2 separate regions of the Mus musculus genome follow, and region 1 is reported to be linked to region 2. Evidence: microRNA targets listed by miRTarBase, many of them from high-throughput screens and not tested one by one. Region 2 holds a microRNA gene; the other region holds the end of a gene's coding sequence.

What was found. The annotated mature microRNA mmu-miR-34b-5p reads AGGCAGUGUAAUUAGCUGAUUGU and lies in region 2 at 5,048-5,070, shown strand. An mRNA with a match to its seed (bases 2 to 7 or 8) in the 3' UTR can be bound and repressed. Matches are read on the target gene's strand: a 7mer-m8 pairs with bases 2 to 8, a 7mer-A1 pairs with bases 2 to 7 and ends in A, and an 8mer does both.
Region 1: the mRNA of Setd7 is a reported target of mmu-miR-34b-5p. Seed matches in the 3' UTR shown: 7mer-m8 at 3,603-3,609.

The regions. Positions count from the first base shown.
Region 1 is chr3:51,515,001-51,522,120 of GRCm38, forward strand. Setd7 (SET domain containing (lysine methyltransferase) 7) reads right to left here. Exons shown (of 8, transcript NM_080793.5): 8 at 318-6,487. The coding sequence ends at 6,307. Among named protein-coding and RNA genes, the nearest start is that of Gm36008, 7.6 kb to the left of the region's middle.
Region 2 is chr9:51,101,560-51,108,679 of GRCm38, reverse strand. It overlaps Mir34b (microRNA 34b), which reads left to right and starts at 5,035; the gene lies at 5,035-5,118. It overlaps Hoatz (HOATZ cilia and flagella associated protein), which reads left to right and starts at 6,602. Exons shown (of 6, transcript NM_177702.4): 1 at 6,602-6,935. The coding sequence starts at 6,710. It overlaps Mir34c (microRNA 34c), which reads left to right and starts at 5,570; the gene lies at 5,570-5,646. It also overlaps a transcript of Btg4 not described here.

The DNA of each region.
Region 1 (7,120 bases), not on the chromosome of region 2:
TTTTTGTTTTTCTGAGACAGGGTCTCACTGTGTAGCCCTGGCTGTCCTGAAACTCCCTCTGTAGACCAGGCTGGCCTCAAACTCAGATCTGTGTTTTCCTCCCAAGTGTTGGGATCAAAGGCCCAGGCAGTGTGTCATCTAAACCACTGAGTCACCTTGGCCCCATCCCTGTATTAAGAATTTCTAAACAAACTTCCAATGTAAAGTTCATTTAGTAATTTAAATACACAGGAAGGCACAGTCTATGGGCACTGTTGCTGCTTTTCTTGCCTAGACAACTAAAAAACAAAACAAAACAAAACAAAACTGACAACAGGAGATTGTATATTTTGTTTAATACTTGCATTGTTTCTATAGCGCAATTATAGCAATCTTTAAGTTTACTTTTCATTACAAATATTTGTCAAGTTTTGTTTCAGAAACATTTTTCCTACTTTCTTGCACATGCGCCCAGACACACTACAAAAAATTCATTCATAACACAGTAAGGGCAAACATTACTCATGTAAACATCTTCCATTGATTTCCCGTAATTAAAAAAAAAATCATAGAATTATATATTGAATAAGGCTCATAGATTTAGTTCAAATTCCACAAAAGACCAAAGATGGTTTTTTTTTCTTTTTAACTGTGATGGGTTGACTTTTGGTTACAATCAAGGCCGAAAGCATAACCCCCTGGCTTCCACTCCATAAACGTACCTCACAACCCAAGAAAATGCCTCGTAGGATAGAAAGAGAACATAGAAAAACCAAGAGGAAAAAAAAAAGAAAACATTTGAAGAAAGGAGCCAAGAATCGTGGACATAACTTCATAACTCGCTTATGCAACCACCAGGTGTGACGTACATAGCCCCTGTAGCATCAAGAATAATTATAGTAACCAAGTAGATAGGTAAGGGGGCACTGGCTCAGTGTTCATATTGCTAGCGTACACAGTGAAATTTGTCAGATTATTGTTTTGTTATAACCCAGGGCCAAAGGTGGGTTGGGGAACGCACTCAAGTGAAATATCATTTTGTAAAGGATTTTTTGTTTGTTTGTTTTGTTTTTCTTTCCAGTAACTCAAGAGTTGGAAGGTATTAGGTACATGAATGGTCTTCATATTAAAATGACATTTAACAACTGCGTGTAAAATCACAGACAGGAATCAAGGGTTTCCATTATCCACGGAAGTCTCCCTCTCTGGCTGAAGTCGGGTGCTTAGATGCATAGTCTTCCAGAGCTGAGACTGGATAAGGACTGTGCTGAGGATGGCCCCTGCCAGCGGCTGCTCGCCTCCTCCCTCGAGGAGAGGGAGGTCAGAAGGCAAAAAGCATTGGTAACTCTGTGAAGTCCCACCCCGGGGTCCAGACCCCAACTCCACTGAGGGTAGCTTCCCTGACATCGTGACTAGGCAGTTAGGGGTGGCGAGTGAAGGTAGCCGGGAAACCCAGCTCCGAGGTTTACAAGTCTGGCTTCTGATTCTGCTGCCCTGCAAAAATAATTGTGCTCGTATAACTGCACCGGTGTCTCTAACGCCTCGATTCGCTCTCAGGCCCCTCAGAGGCCTGCGGGAATCACTAAAAGGTAAACACGTCTCCTTTAGCACCGAACTTACCACCAGAAAGCGGCTGAGGCACTGGGGAAGCCTACCTCACATCGGACGCCACCCCACCAGGAGGTGGTCATCAGTCAGAGCGGTTTGTAGGCTTTTTGATTTCTAAAAATGAAAATTGATCTGCATTATATCTCAATAGACTCAGATAATTCTCACCAAAAATTTTTGTCCTGTGTTTAAATAGCACTGGAATAATTCAACTTCATTTAAATATATTCATTCTACCATGAAAATATTTCATACAAACAGCTATTTACATACAAACACATTAAAATTTGTGGAAAGGGCTCCACCCCTGCGGCTTTATGGCTTGAAATAGTTTCATTGCTTTGAATATGTATGCACATGTTTGGCAAAATAAAACTTACAAAATTGAGTCTTTTTGAAAACAAAAATCACCACCCCTCCCCTCCCCTCCCCAACCCCGGCAAAACCAAACCAAAACCAAAAACAACCCTCCAAAACTAAAACCCAAAAAACACTGACACCAAAGCTTAAAATTTTAGAAGGGAAAGCAATCCAAGCCCCGCTGCCCCGCTGCAGCAATGCAAGCCTCAGGGCGGGAATCTATCAAGGTACCTCCCTGTACCTGGAAATTGAAGATATTTGTGAACCTTTGATCTGCAGCAAAGAAACATTGCGACTCTCCATCTTGCAACATAGTTTTGCTTGTTTGTCTAAAATAAAAGATGTCTGGATTCTAAATCTCTACTTTGAAGACAGAATTTGAGGTGGCTGTTTGAGAATAACCAAAGCCTAGAACTCTTGACCTTCTTGGAAAATGTAGAAGTGCATTTTTGCAGTGAGAAATTTAGATTTTTTTTCTTAAACCAATTAAGTAAAATTAATAAAAGTGTCACATACTGTCTCACGAAGACAACCTTTTATTTCAGTGTTCACAATTGACCCTTCCACTCCCAGTACTAGGGACGTAAGCCAGGGCCTCTAGCTGCTAGGCAGATGTTGGACTTTGAGCTGTATTTGCTGCTCAACGCAACTTTAATTGTCACAATTAAATGTTGTAAATGATTACATGGCCTTGTTGGTGTGTGGGTGTGTGTGTGTGTGTGAGGGTTGGTGATAAGGAAACAGTTTTTCAAGACTGATGAACCCCAAAGGGGAATGAGGCTGAACTCTAGTCCCAGTCAGGTTCAAAGAGGCCTTGACAAAAAAAAAAAAAAGGTTTCCTTTTTAGTTGCTGGAGAGGTCAGGGATTGAGAGGATTAAAATAAGAATCTGTACTAAGAAACTCAAGTCTTCCGCCTGTTACTCTGTAACCTTATCATTCTTTTGTGTCCTAATTTCAGTTCTTTCTTTTGCTTCTGTTAGTTCCAGCGTATGCCCCAGTTAGGGGGGACGTGCTCCATGGATTAGTTCCTAGTCCTAACTCCTAACTCTAACACAAGGCAATAATAGTTCAGCATAGGAAAGATGCTAAAGATGGGTCAAGTCATGCAGGGTTGGACTGAGACAGCTCTGAATGAGGCCTCTCGAGACCCGTGCTGACGTCAGGCAGGTAAGCCCACAAGCGCCAGCTGTCAGGAAGACAGCGCACAGTTCTTTTTCTTCTCTACCACACAGAATCTCAATCATGGCTGTTTGTGATTATGATCCTGAGAGAAGACCAGACTTGCCCGCTTCCTATGTCCTTCTACAGTAGAAGGCACATTCGGAGGCTTTTCTGTTTTGGTTCAAGCAAGGAGCAAACCCCAACCTCCCTCAGCAGCTAATTCTCTATGCAGCGCCTATGCTGTCTGCTTCTCTTCTCCACAGTGAGGTTCTGGCCTCTTTAACAGTTGCAACCTATGACTAAGCAAGTTACCTATGCTTGGTAACTTGGAGAGAGGAAGAGAGAAGGGGAGGGGGAAGGGGAGGGAGGGGGAAGGGAAAGCAAGGGAAGGGGGAGGGGAGGGAGAGGGAGAAGAAGAGGGAGGAAGAGGGAGTAAAAGGAAGAGGGAGGGAAAGGAAGAGGGAGGGAGAGGGATAGAGAAGGCGGAGGCAGGGGCAGTGACTGGAATGGGTCACAGTCAGGGAAAGGCACAGAGTCCAGCAAGAGAGAAGAGGAACTTAAGACATAAGGAAAGAGGTGGAGCAATCGGCTGGGCTGCCATTCTGCACACACACACCCAGGCTTCTCACACAGCAGAAGAAAAGGAGCTGAAAGGCACCAGGAACCCAGGGCGAGGGGAGACAGGGAGGCTCGGCTCTGAGGGTCTGCTTCCTGTGTCTAAGGGTCACCGACACATTGCTGCTGGGTTTGAAGTCCAGTGTGTCTTCCTCCACTGTGGGATGGGAAAAGTAGATCGGTTTCCCAGCCACATGTGTGTGTGTGTGTGTGTGTGTGGAGGGGCGGGTGCGTGCCATGCTGGGTGTGGTCAGAGGCTAGCCTTCAGGAGTTGTTTCTCTCCTACTATATATGTCCTAAGGCTTAACTCAGGCCATCGGCTTGCCAACAGCACCTTTACCTGCTAAACGTTTTTTGCTGGCCCTTAAGCCCCCCCAAATTGTTTTTGAGTCCCATTTGGATGAGATTGCTAGAGTAGCCCTTTAGGATAGAGGTTGAGCCCCTACAGCAACTGAGGCTAAGGTTCCATCCCCAGGTGTGAAATCCTGTGAGCCTGGGCGATTGGAGGTGGAACCTGTTCTCTCGTCCTCCGTCCTCCTTCTCATCTGGTCACTGAAGTTCAGCCATTGTTCTCCCCAAAGCAGCCAACTCTCTTTGGGCACATTTACAGAAAAGCTCCTCTCAGAATCTGAACCCACAGACTCAGCCTCCTGTCAGAGTTTACTGAATGGTGTCTTTCTACAGAATAGAAGCCATCCTATCCTGCTGACTTGCAGTCTGAAAACTATTCAGTCCTCTTTGCAGGAGGCTCCTCGAAAGTCCAGAGGACGTTTCTCCCGAGGGAACTCGCTCCTTAAGCTTTCAAACAGGGATGTGACTAGCACTCCCGGGCAGCATCGTCACCTGGGTGCAGAGCCTGACGGTAGGTATGTCAGGAAGCTTGTGAAAGAGCCCAGGGGTGGCTATCACAACTGAGGGCTGAGTTCTCCACCTGGGGCTCTTGATGGAAAAGCTGTGTCGCAGCCCCAGATAAAGCACTCCTGAAAGTTGTGAAGACCAAGATGCAACTGACCACAGAATATCAAACCGCTCTCTACCTGTCTCCTCTCTCCATTTCCACCTACTCCCAAGCATCTCTCCCCTTTCCCAGAGCCCTTTATTGCAGCTTGGAAAGCTTTAGCTTTTAAGCCTAAACCGACACAGGCCACAGGTAGCACTGTGGACAGCTACCGGCTTCAGCAACTGTTGTTCCCAGGCCTTCTCGGTGATGGACACCTTGGGGGAGGGGAGTGTTCCCCAAACTCGGCATTCATTCAGAGCGACCCAGTTACATTACAGATCTAATGTGCTAAAGTAAAATAATGGGGTTTTCTCTGTACTTCTGCAATTGTGATTACATATGGCTTGAGGAGGCTGAGACGCTAGCGGGATTAACCGCGCAGGTGTGAACTCTTGGAAGCAGCTAAATGCTTTGAAATCCGCTGTGACGAGAAGCCTTAGCTAGAGATCTGATTTGTACCTATCGATATCAGCATGTCTGCCTTCGTGACACTGATTTCAAAGAGAATTTTGCATTCTGCCTTAGAATGCACACTGGCTATTGTGTTTGAATTCAATGAGCTGTGTGTGTCACAAGCCAGACTGTACTAGGTTATGTACAATTAATGTGTACCCAAGAAGAAGAAAAAATTAGCAACACTACTGGAGATACTGCAAAGTTGCCATAACAACTGCTTAGATATAACTTCCCTCTCTTCTTCCTGAAAGTGTATCTTAAAACCCTTCCATAACTTGATGCAAACAAGGTAAATCCATTTCTTCTCACATCTGAAAGCAAAGATATCCTTGTTTACATGCGAGAATAGTAAGTCTATAAATAACAGTCTGGCCCTAGGAGCCAGGACTTTATATCAGGACGTAAGAGTGAAATGGCAGAGAAAGGACCAGAGAGACCTGTACGCTGCTACAAATGCAAAATCCAAGTGGAAGCTTTCTCTTGTAAAGTATAGCTAGTATAGTGAAGCTAAAGAAATTACTCAAAACACTGGGCTTCGGGTCACTAGGAGAGGAACAACAAAAACAAAGCCATTCTACTGCAAGAGATACAGATCAAAGGTTAAAAGGCAAATGACCCTACGTGTATATAAAGATGTAATTGCTTCCTGCCCTGCGGTTGGCAACATGCAAGGGTGACAACACCATTTGCACTGGCCATAGAGAAAACATCATGGAAAAAAAAATAAAAAGAAGAAGAAGAGACTGAAGAACCCCGTTTCCCCTTTTCAGCCTCATCATTTGGTATCTCTGAACACGGTCCAGATTTAGACTTTCACCATCAAAGAACATCATGCTGTCTACAGTTCGACAGTACCTCTCAGTAGGGCGTTGTGGCAAGGCTAGCTAATTTTAAATCTGGTACGAGTAATACAGTCAAACCTAGTTAGTATGCGAGAGAGAGAGAGAGGGGGGGGGGAGAGAGAGAGAGAGAGAGAGAGAGAGAGAGAGAGAGAGTCGTTGCTAACGCAGGGTGAGAGGATGTGATGTCATGGCATGAATAGTCCCTGGTTGTCCCGTTGTCAGATAAATGTAGTGCATAGATCCAAGTTTCTACTCCAGGTCTCTGGGACCCAGTGCCAAGCCTTTCACTTCTGCTGGGTGGCCTGGAAGGCCTTCAGCTCCACTTGATACCACTCGGGGGCTTCAGGCCCACTCTTCCCCGGGGGGCTGTGGTCATAGCCGTAGGCAACGGTCAGCTCTTCCTCGGCCTCCACAGCTCGCAGGGTGCGGATGCACTTGATCGGCCCGAAACGGGGGTGGACAAACCTAAACATTAAGACGGGAAAGGTCACTCTTGGGTCAACCGAGGACCTCAGTGCCAAGGGAGCGGCTCACCCACATGCACTGGGTGTCACTCCCGAGTTCTCAGAGAAGGGGCACACCCCCACCAGCTTCAGCACCCACTCTAGGCAGTCTGGGGTGGAAGGCTCAGCTGGTAAAGTGTTCATCTAACACATATGGGGCCCAAGGCTCGTCTCAGCATAACCATAAACCAGGCATGGTGGTCCTAGTGCTCGGGAGGTGGGGGAGGGGAATCAGTCTCTTGGCTTCATAGTGAGTCTGAGGCCAGACTGGGATTATACAACATCCTGTCCTAAAATTAAAACCCCAAATCTCCCAGAACACCCCAGCACATATTGGAGAGAGAGGTCAGAGGACAACTTGGAGAAGTCGCTCCTTTCCTTCAACCATGTGGGTTCCAGGGATCAAACACAATAGGCTTGGTGACAAGTGCCTTTAGCGGCTAAGCTAGTTGCTAGCCCTCATCCTTCATGCAGACCCCCCATGATTAGCAAGGGACAGAGGACAACACATCACATGGGGAAAAGCCAGCCATAAATCAGATTGGCCTCTAGGGCCTGAGGGAGCTAAGTATTTAGCTGGCTCCTCTGTTTGTGG
Region 2 (7,120 bases):
AAAGTAATTTGGAGTGTGCAGAACTGTTTACACACACAGTGTGCACTGACATAATAAATGTGTCTGTATGTGTGACACTGGAGTGTGCAGAACTGTTTATACACACAGTGTGCACTGATGTAATAAATGTGTCTGTATGTGTGACAACATTGGATGCTGTCCTAATCAAGTAAGGAAAGTATTGGTGATTGATATGTTTATTAATGGAAGATACTAACTATAAACTGAGTATATTGAGTTCAAGAGAAAGTAGAGAAGAAGAAACAGAAAGAAGATGAGCTCTAAAGGCACCTTGGGATATTTTTCCTGGAGATAGGCCTGAGCTTTAAACACGCTGTGGATGGACCAAGAGGGGAGGAGACAACATAAGTTCAGCTAAATATAAACACAATGAAATCCTTGAGATACACGTTATGAGTTAGAGAAAATAAAGAAATGAGTTGTATAATTGTTAAACTATATGCACGCTCGATACAGGAATCAAGAAGTCTTAAGTGCTCAATGAGGACAGTAAAAACAACTGCAATGAATAACTGTGCACAAAGTGACGCCTCTGAGAAAGGCAGACACTGATTGCATGCTTGCAAATAGATTAGTTGACAGGTAGCTTCCTATTTGGGCTTCACAGACTTAAGAATACCTACTAGGACCTCTTAAGGAAAATGAACTCTTCAGCAACACACTCAGACAACCAGCTAGCTACTCTGAAACCCCAAAATTACTTTTACAAACCAGGAAATCTACTTGAGATCTGCTTAAAGTGGCAGGAGCCAGTCTACAGTCAGGGAAGTTCATCTGTCTACGTGCACCTTGGAGAAAACCATCTACTTAACATGTATCTGGGTTCCATTCCAGGATTAAAAAGGAGAGGAGGGCATTCCACTGTTGGTCACTTACTTCCTCCTTCCTGAAAGAACTATAACAAGCAAGAATAAGCTACCACACCCTTCATGGACTTTGTTCAACTCTTTGATTTAATTTTCACAGTTTCAGAAAACTGCTAATCCCTCTTCTTAATTCTGACTTCTTTCCAGAATTCCAGTTTAAATACTTACCTTCATTATGATGTTCATCCATAGCCCAAACCCAGCCTTGCTTAGACCCAAACTCAACTCGTTATAAACATCCTCTGATTCTGTTTCCCTCAGCTCCTCAAATTTGTCCCTGGAGTTAGCAGCTGATCTTGTTAAATGGTTAATCAGACATCAAGTCCTAAACATTTTCTTTCACAAAATCCCTTATTCTGTATTTCCTCTATCATTCCATATGTGCATCTGTTAAAAATCATCTCCTACATTGAAGCTCAGCCCCCTCTGTAATCCATGATACTTTAATCCCCATAAAACAACATACACTTTGTAGGCATCAGGGGCTCTCCGAGAGCCAGAATGATATTCAAACTCCCTACGCTAACGTTTCTAGTCTCTCATGCCTACCTCCTACTATAATTCAGTCAATGCTGGTTTTTTTTTCTATATAGCCCTATTTTTGTCCCATATTTTGGTGCTTTTTAATTATGTTTTCCCCAAATGTTAACAATAACAGCACTCGAATTCAAGATTTCTTAAGCACTTAGTAATCTAAGTACTTAGACATTCAATATATTTTATGTGATATAAATATATTATCTAAACATTTTATGCATTAATATAATAATTTATATATTAATATTATGATGCATTAATATGATTAACATAATTTAACTATATTAATTATCTATACAAACAAACTGTCTATCCCTCCAATTAAACCACATCTCTGGAGACTGTTGTTCCCTAGAGATGAGAAATAGACAAGAATTGTTTCTGGAGTAAGAGCTCCATCAACCTTAACTAGGAAGCTATTTTTGTTAGATTGTTCCTAAAAAAGTAAATTAACATTTGATACTGAAAGCAAAACTATTGGTTAATTGAGAAATGGAAACAAGAAGCTAATTGAGAACTTTTCCTAATGAGAGTTCATTGAGTTGAAACCAGAGGTATAGAGCTGCTGGCAGTTCATTCTAGCTCAGATGACAACCCACTATGATTAAACAGATTCATTGATTTGTAATTATTCAAGGGCTAAATTGACTTCAACTCAGCCTTGCTTCAACTTATAAACTAGTTCCTAAGCATACTATCGTGAATATTAATATGGTCATCTGACATTTGATAGTCTGCATAAAAAAATGCATGGTTTTATTTCCTAGGAAAGTATGCATTTTTGAAATGTTTTAAAAGAAGTGGCTAAAGATCATTGCTTTCTAATTAGTGTCCTTCATTCTTTCCTCCCTAACAAGAACCTTCAAATGCTGCAGAAATAGCCTGCAACTGGGAGGTTGTATCAAGAAGAACAAGAGCTCAAGGCCAGCCTGAGCTAATTGAGTCCCTATCTAAAAACAAAGAGGACGTGTACAGACGATGTGCTGTGTGTACTGACAGGAGGAAGTCATCTCTCGATGGCCCTTTTACAGGAGTCATAAATTAAGTCAAGATAAATTTGTCAGATTCACGCAGGAAGTTCTTGTTTTTGATACTTTTCATGGTTTCCTTCCGGTCAATACTATCAACCCATCTCCTCAAAGGTCCTACCCCATCTCCCAGATCAACAAAAACCCAGAAATTAAAGCAGTAAACAGCTCCTCCTCAAGGTGCCTTCCTGGATCTATCTAACCAAATGTAATGGTCTGCTTGGGCATTTTAACCACACCACAGGCATTCTTACTTAGATTAAAACATGAGTCTCCCTGGTCTCTAGACATGCCTAGGCATGACCAGCAGATGCAATAAGATCCTTGGAGTTTCTCTAGTAACTGTGGGCAGGATCAACAGCAACCCTAAGAACAGACATTCTTTTCTATTGTTGCTTTCTAACAGAACTAGGGCACACGCATTTTTTTTTCATCATTTTACTTTTTATCATTGAAGAAAAAAATTTAGTCTAAATTTCAAGACAGTTTATGCAATGATAGCTTTGGATGGAAGCAATAAAACTCAGGTAAGATATTTAAGATGCTACTAATAGAGAAAATCCCTAAGCTGGGTGGAAGCATGACACATGGAGTGAAATTGAGCAAAATGCAAAATAAATGATTTTTTAATGATGTCCTCCTAAAACTTGTAACTCTTCATAGTGTTTATGGGATGGAGGCTATTTCTACTACTTTTATTTATATTTGAACGTTTAAATGACCTTTTGTAGGATACATTATACTTTTCTCAAATACAAGAAGACTGAATACAAGATAGTTATTTACAAATGTCTTTCATAAGTTAATTTTATAATAATCTGGCATTTTCTACTTCATTTTCCTTTCACTTAAGCCTTCATAAAACAATGACTCTGAAGGAAAAAAACATTGTCTTTTACTTTCAAAGATAATGTTAAAATATACACAAGTTTATTCTTGGGAAGTTCTTGGGTTTTAATGGTTTCCACTTGGAATTTGTGTTGAATGTTCCTGATGATTGGCATATATTCATGTAATTAGTGGCATCTACAAGACCATTTGCTGGGCTTACAGGTATCAGTGTATAGCTAAGAAATGTCCCTTTGTAGACTGCAAGACTGTTGGATCAATACAAATGGGTGTCATACAGCATACAGGAAGACCACAGTCTGGGACGGCTACTTCCTACTGAATTCCACAAAGTTTGCAATCAGAGAATACTGTATATCCTCTCTGGGCTCAATTAATTAAAGGAAAGGAGAGGAAAGACTAAAGGAAAGAAATATTAGTGAAGATGGCGCAGAAATGCTGTCCCCTCAGCGCCTCCTATTCCCAATATACACAAACACGCACCCCGTTATCAGATATAAAATAGCAAAAACAAGGGGAATGTAACTGACAGAAGATATGGCTTCTCGGGCTTCTACAGACCTCATCCTTAATGTCCAAATCTACCCTTGCTTCAAGGATCTACCTGAACTCTCACCTCCTCCATGATGGTGTCTGTCAGCTCTTGTTGGCACACCTCCCACCCCCACCCATACCTGTTTTTTTCTATTAGGAAAATCTATCAGTTTAGCAACTTTATACTGTCTGGAGTAATAAATAATGTGTTCACATTTTGTTACCACCTAGACTGTCTGATGGGTAGTAAGACAAACGCCTGTTAGGTGCTGGATTTGTAACATTTAAATAAAACAGGAGCCCAAAGTGAGACTAGATATCCTCAAGGCTCACGGGGAGATCATCAAAACTGTGTCTTTGATCTTATAAGGGCCACAACTTTGACCTACCAACAAGGGTGTTGGTTCAATGTTTGACCAGAAGAGTGGCCCACACTTCACTGTATGGCCCTGTAAGAGGTAGTCCTAAGAAAGAACTTGGGTACAGGCAAGGGCAATCCTGCAGGTATGAGTGCCCAGGCCTGCTCAGGCAGGAAGGCTCCAGATGAGACGCCTGGGAAGCGGTTTCTGAGAATGGGCATATGAACAGTGAGGAGGCCTGGGGCTTCTTGGGCAATATATTGGGAAGGAGAGATGGATGTAGGTCTCTGCGCTTCTTTCTTCGATGTAGCAGTAACTACACTGTGAAGATAAACTTCTCAAGAATCTGTCTCTCCATCTCCCCGGCCCCTTCCCAGGAGGCTCTGCAGGAGCCCTCCCATTGCCCCTTCTGGTAGCTTCTGCCACCCCTCCCCCACTCGCCCCGCCCCCTCGGCCTCGGGGTTCCAAGGGCGGTTGGTCGCTGAGCCACGGTCACTCGGCCAGTAGGAGCTGCGGGGCGCGCGGGCTGGACAGAACCGGCTCTAGACTTGGGTCTGGAAGCCGTGAAGAAGTTGTTGGAGGCGGGTCAGACCCGGCTTGCGGGAAGAAGGACTCGGGCCGGATGCCCTGGGGTCCGGGCTGAGTCGGGGGTCTCGGGGGGGACGGCGGGGACAGGGGGCCTCAGCGCCTGGGGGTTCACCTGGGGTCGCGCGCGGCCCTGCTGGGTGTGGAGGGGCCTCGGGAGCCTGAGGCACCTCTCGCTCCGCCGCCCTCGCCTGTCGACCGTGGCGAAAGGGGGCGAGGGGCCCGACCCTCGGGAGCTGCAGTGGCGGGCGCCCGGTGCTCGGTTTGTAGGCAGTGTAATTAGCTGATTGTAGTGCGGTGCTGACAATCACTAACTCCACTGCCATCAAAACAAGGCACAGCATCACCCGCCGCCCGCGGGAGGAGAAGCCAGCGCTGCAGCCCCACTGACTCCGCAGAAAGCCGAGGCCGGAGCCAGGATGCGTCAGCAAAGGGCCGGGAGCACGAGGTCTAAGTGCAAGTAACCCTCGGAGACCGGCGGCCTCCTTTAGGGACCGTTCGGCTACCTGTGTGTAAGAGCCAGAGCAAAAACGGTTCAGTGATGTGTAAAGAGAATCGGTATACACCGGCCTTAACATAAAAAAAAAAAAAAAAAAAAAGGCCAGGAAGAGCCCCCCCCCCCCCCCCCCCAGAACAGTTCCTGCTGCTGCTGTGATTCACTGCCTGATTTCCACTTCTGAGAAAGCTATCACCAAGGCAGCGACTAGAGTCAACCACAGCTTGGCTGACGATTTGCTCTGGTCACACCAAAGTCTGAGAGCACCAGCTAAAGACTGCATGCTTTTTTCTGAGTCTAGTTACTAGGCAGTGTAGTTAGCTGATTGCTAATAGTACCAATCACTAACCACACAGCCAGGTAAAAAGACTGAAATTCCTCCGACTGAGCCTCCTGTGAATCGTCATTTTGGTGAGGACAGAGCCATAGGGAAATATTCTTACCATACTATTAGTGGTTTGGGGGGGGGGGGGGAACCGCTAGCCCTTAGCTGCTAAGTATACAATGTATCAATTTGTGTGGGGTACATTTTTTGTGATTTTTAGATATATTGGAAAAATAGAAATTATCCCTTAGCTGATTTGGTCATTATATTGACTTGTGATTATAAATCTTTGGACTTTGCCTGACATATTAATAACACTCTAAAAAATAAAGCGCCACGAAAATCTCAGCAATCGTGTTCATTTCCTTTCCAAAAACTGGCTTTAGGATCTCCATTTCAGCTCCTGTCAACCCCGTAAAGTCATTAAATGGTTAGTTGCTATACAGACAAAATCTCCAGGGAAACGTCTCACACATGATTGTGACCTGGAAGGGAACGTTAAATGTTTTCATAATTTTCCATGGGGCAAGGGAACTCAGCCCACTTAACCAGGTATATTTTTTAAGGTATTAACAGTTGCGTTCTAGGCAACTTTTCGTGGGAATAATTAGTGAACACGATTTAAAACCAGCTGGTTTCCTAATATCTGTAATAAAAGATTTGAGAGGTTTTAAATCACACAAGCTGTATCCACCGGTACTTCTCGGCCCAGTTCTAGATTAGCGCTTTATGCAGATGTATCAATGCAAACCTGAGAATTTCCCCAGAGGTAAGAGTGCGAAGCCTTGGCAATCTTGTCCAAAAGAGGAAGGCGCTCTTTAAAGCTCACATTATTGGGCTATCTGGGGGAGGAGGAGACGCTGGCTGAGGATCTAAGAGACAGTCCAGGACTGTACACATCACAAAGTTGAGGCTTTTACTCTTAAGGCTTGACTGGCCCCGAAAATTGTGACCTCGACAGAAGCCAGCTGCTGATGGGCCACAAGCCCTCGAGGAACCCCAGATCTACGGAAGAAGAAACACAGGCATTCCGGTGGTGGCAGTTACCAACAGGACGGTTCTCCGGTAGGGGCGGGACGCCAGAGCTAAGGAAAGCGTCCTGAGTCACCATGGAAACGGGGCCCAGAGGCTGTCCTAGCGGCAGGAAGGAATCCCAGGAAATCTGCTCCCCTGGATTACTGGTGTTCACCGGCTGCTCTGAGCAGGATGCCAATTTGGCTAAGCAGTTTTGGCTCGGGGCGTCCATGTACCCCACTACCGAATCTCAGCTCGTGCTGACCCGAGGCAGCAGTCAGAGGCTACCGGTGGCGCGGAACTCTAAAGTCGTTCTGAGAGGTGAGTAGCAAGGCTACCTCCTGGAAGGGGAAACTGCCTGGTCTAATTGTCAGTCAATTGAGAAGTACAAACAAGCAGAAACAGGCAGTAATAGGTATATGCAAATACACAAACAATTCTAAAACTGCTGCAATTCTCCACTGTAAAGGATCTCATTGTTACATATAAATTCATTCTAGAGCTGG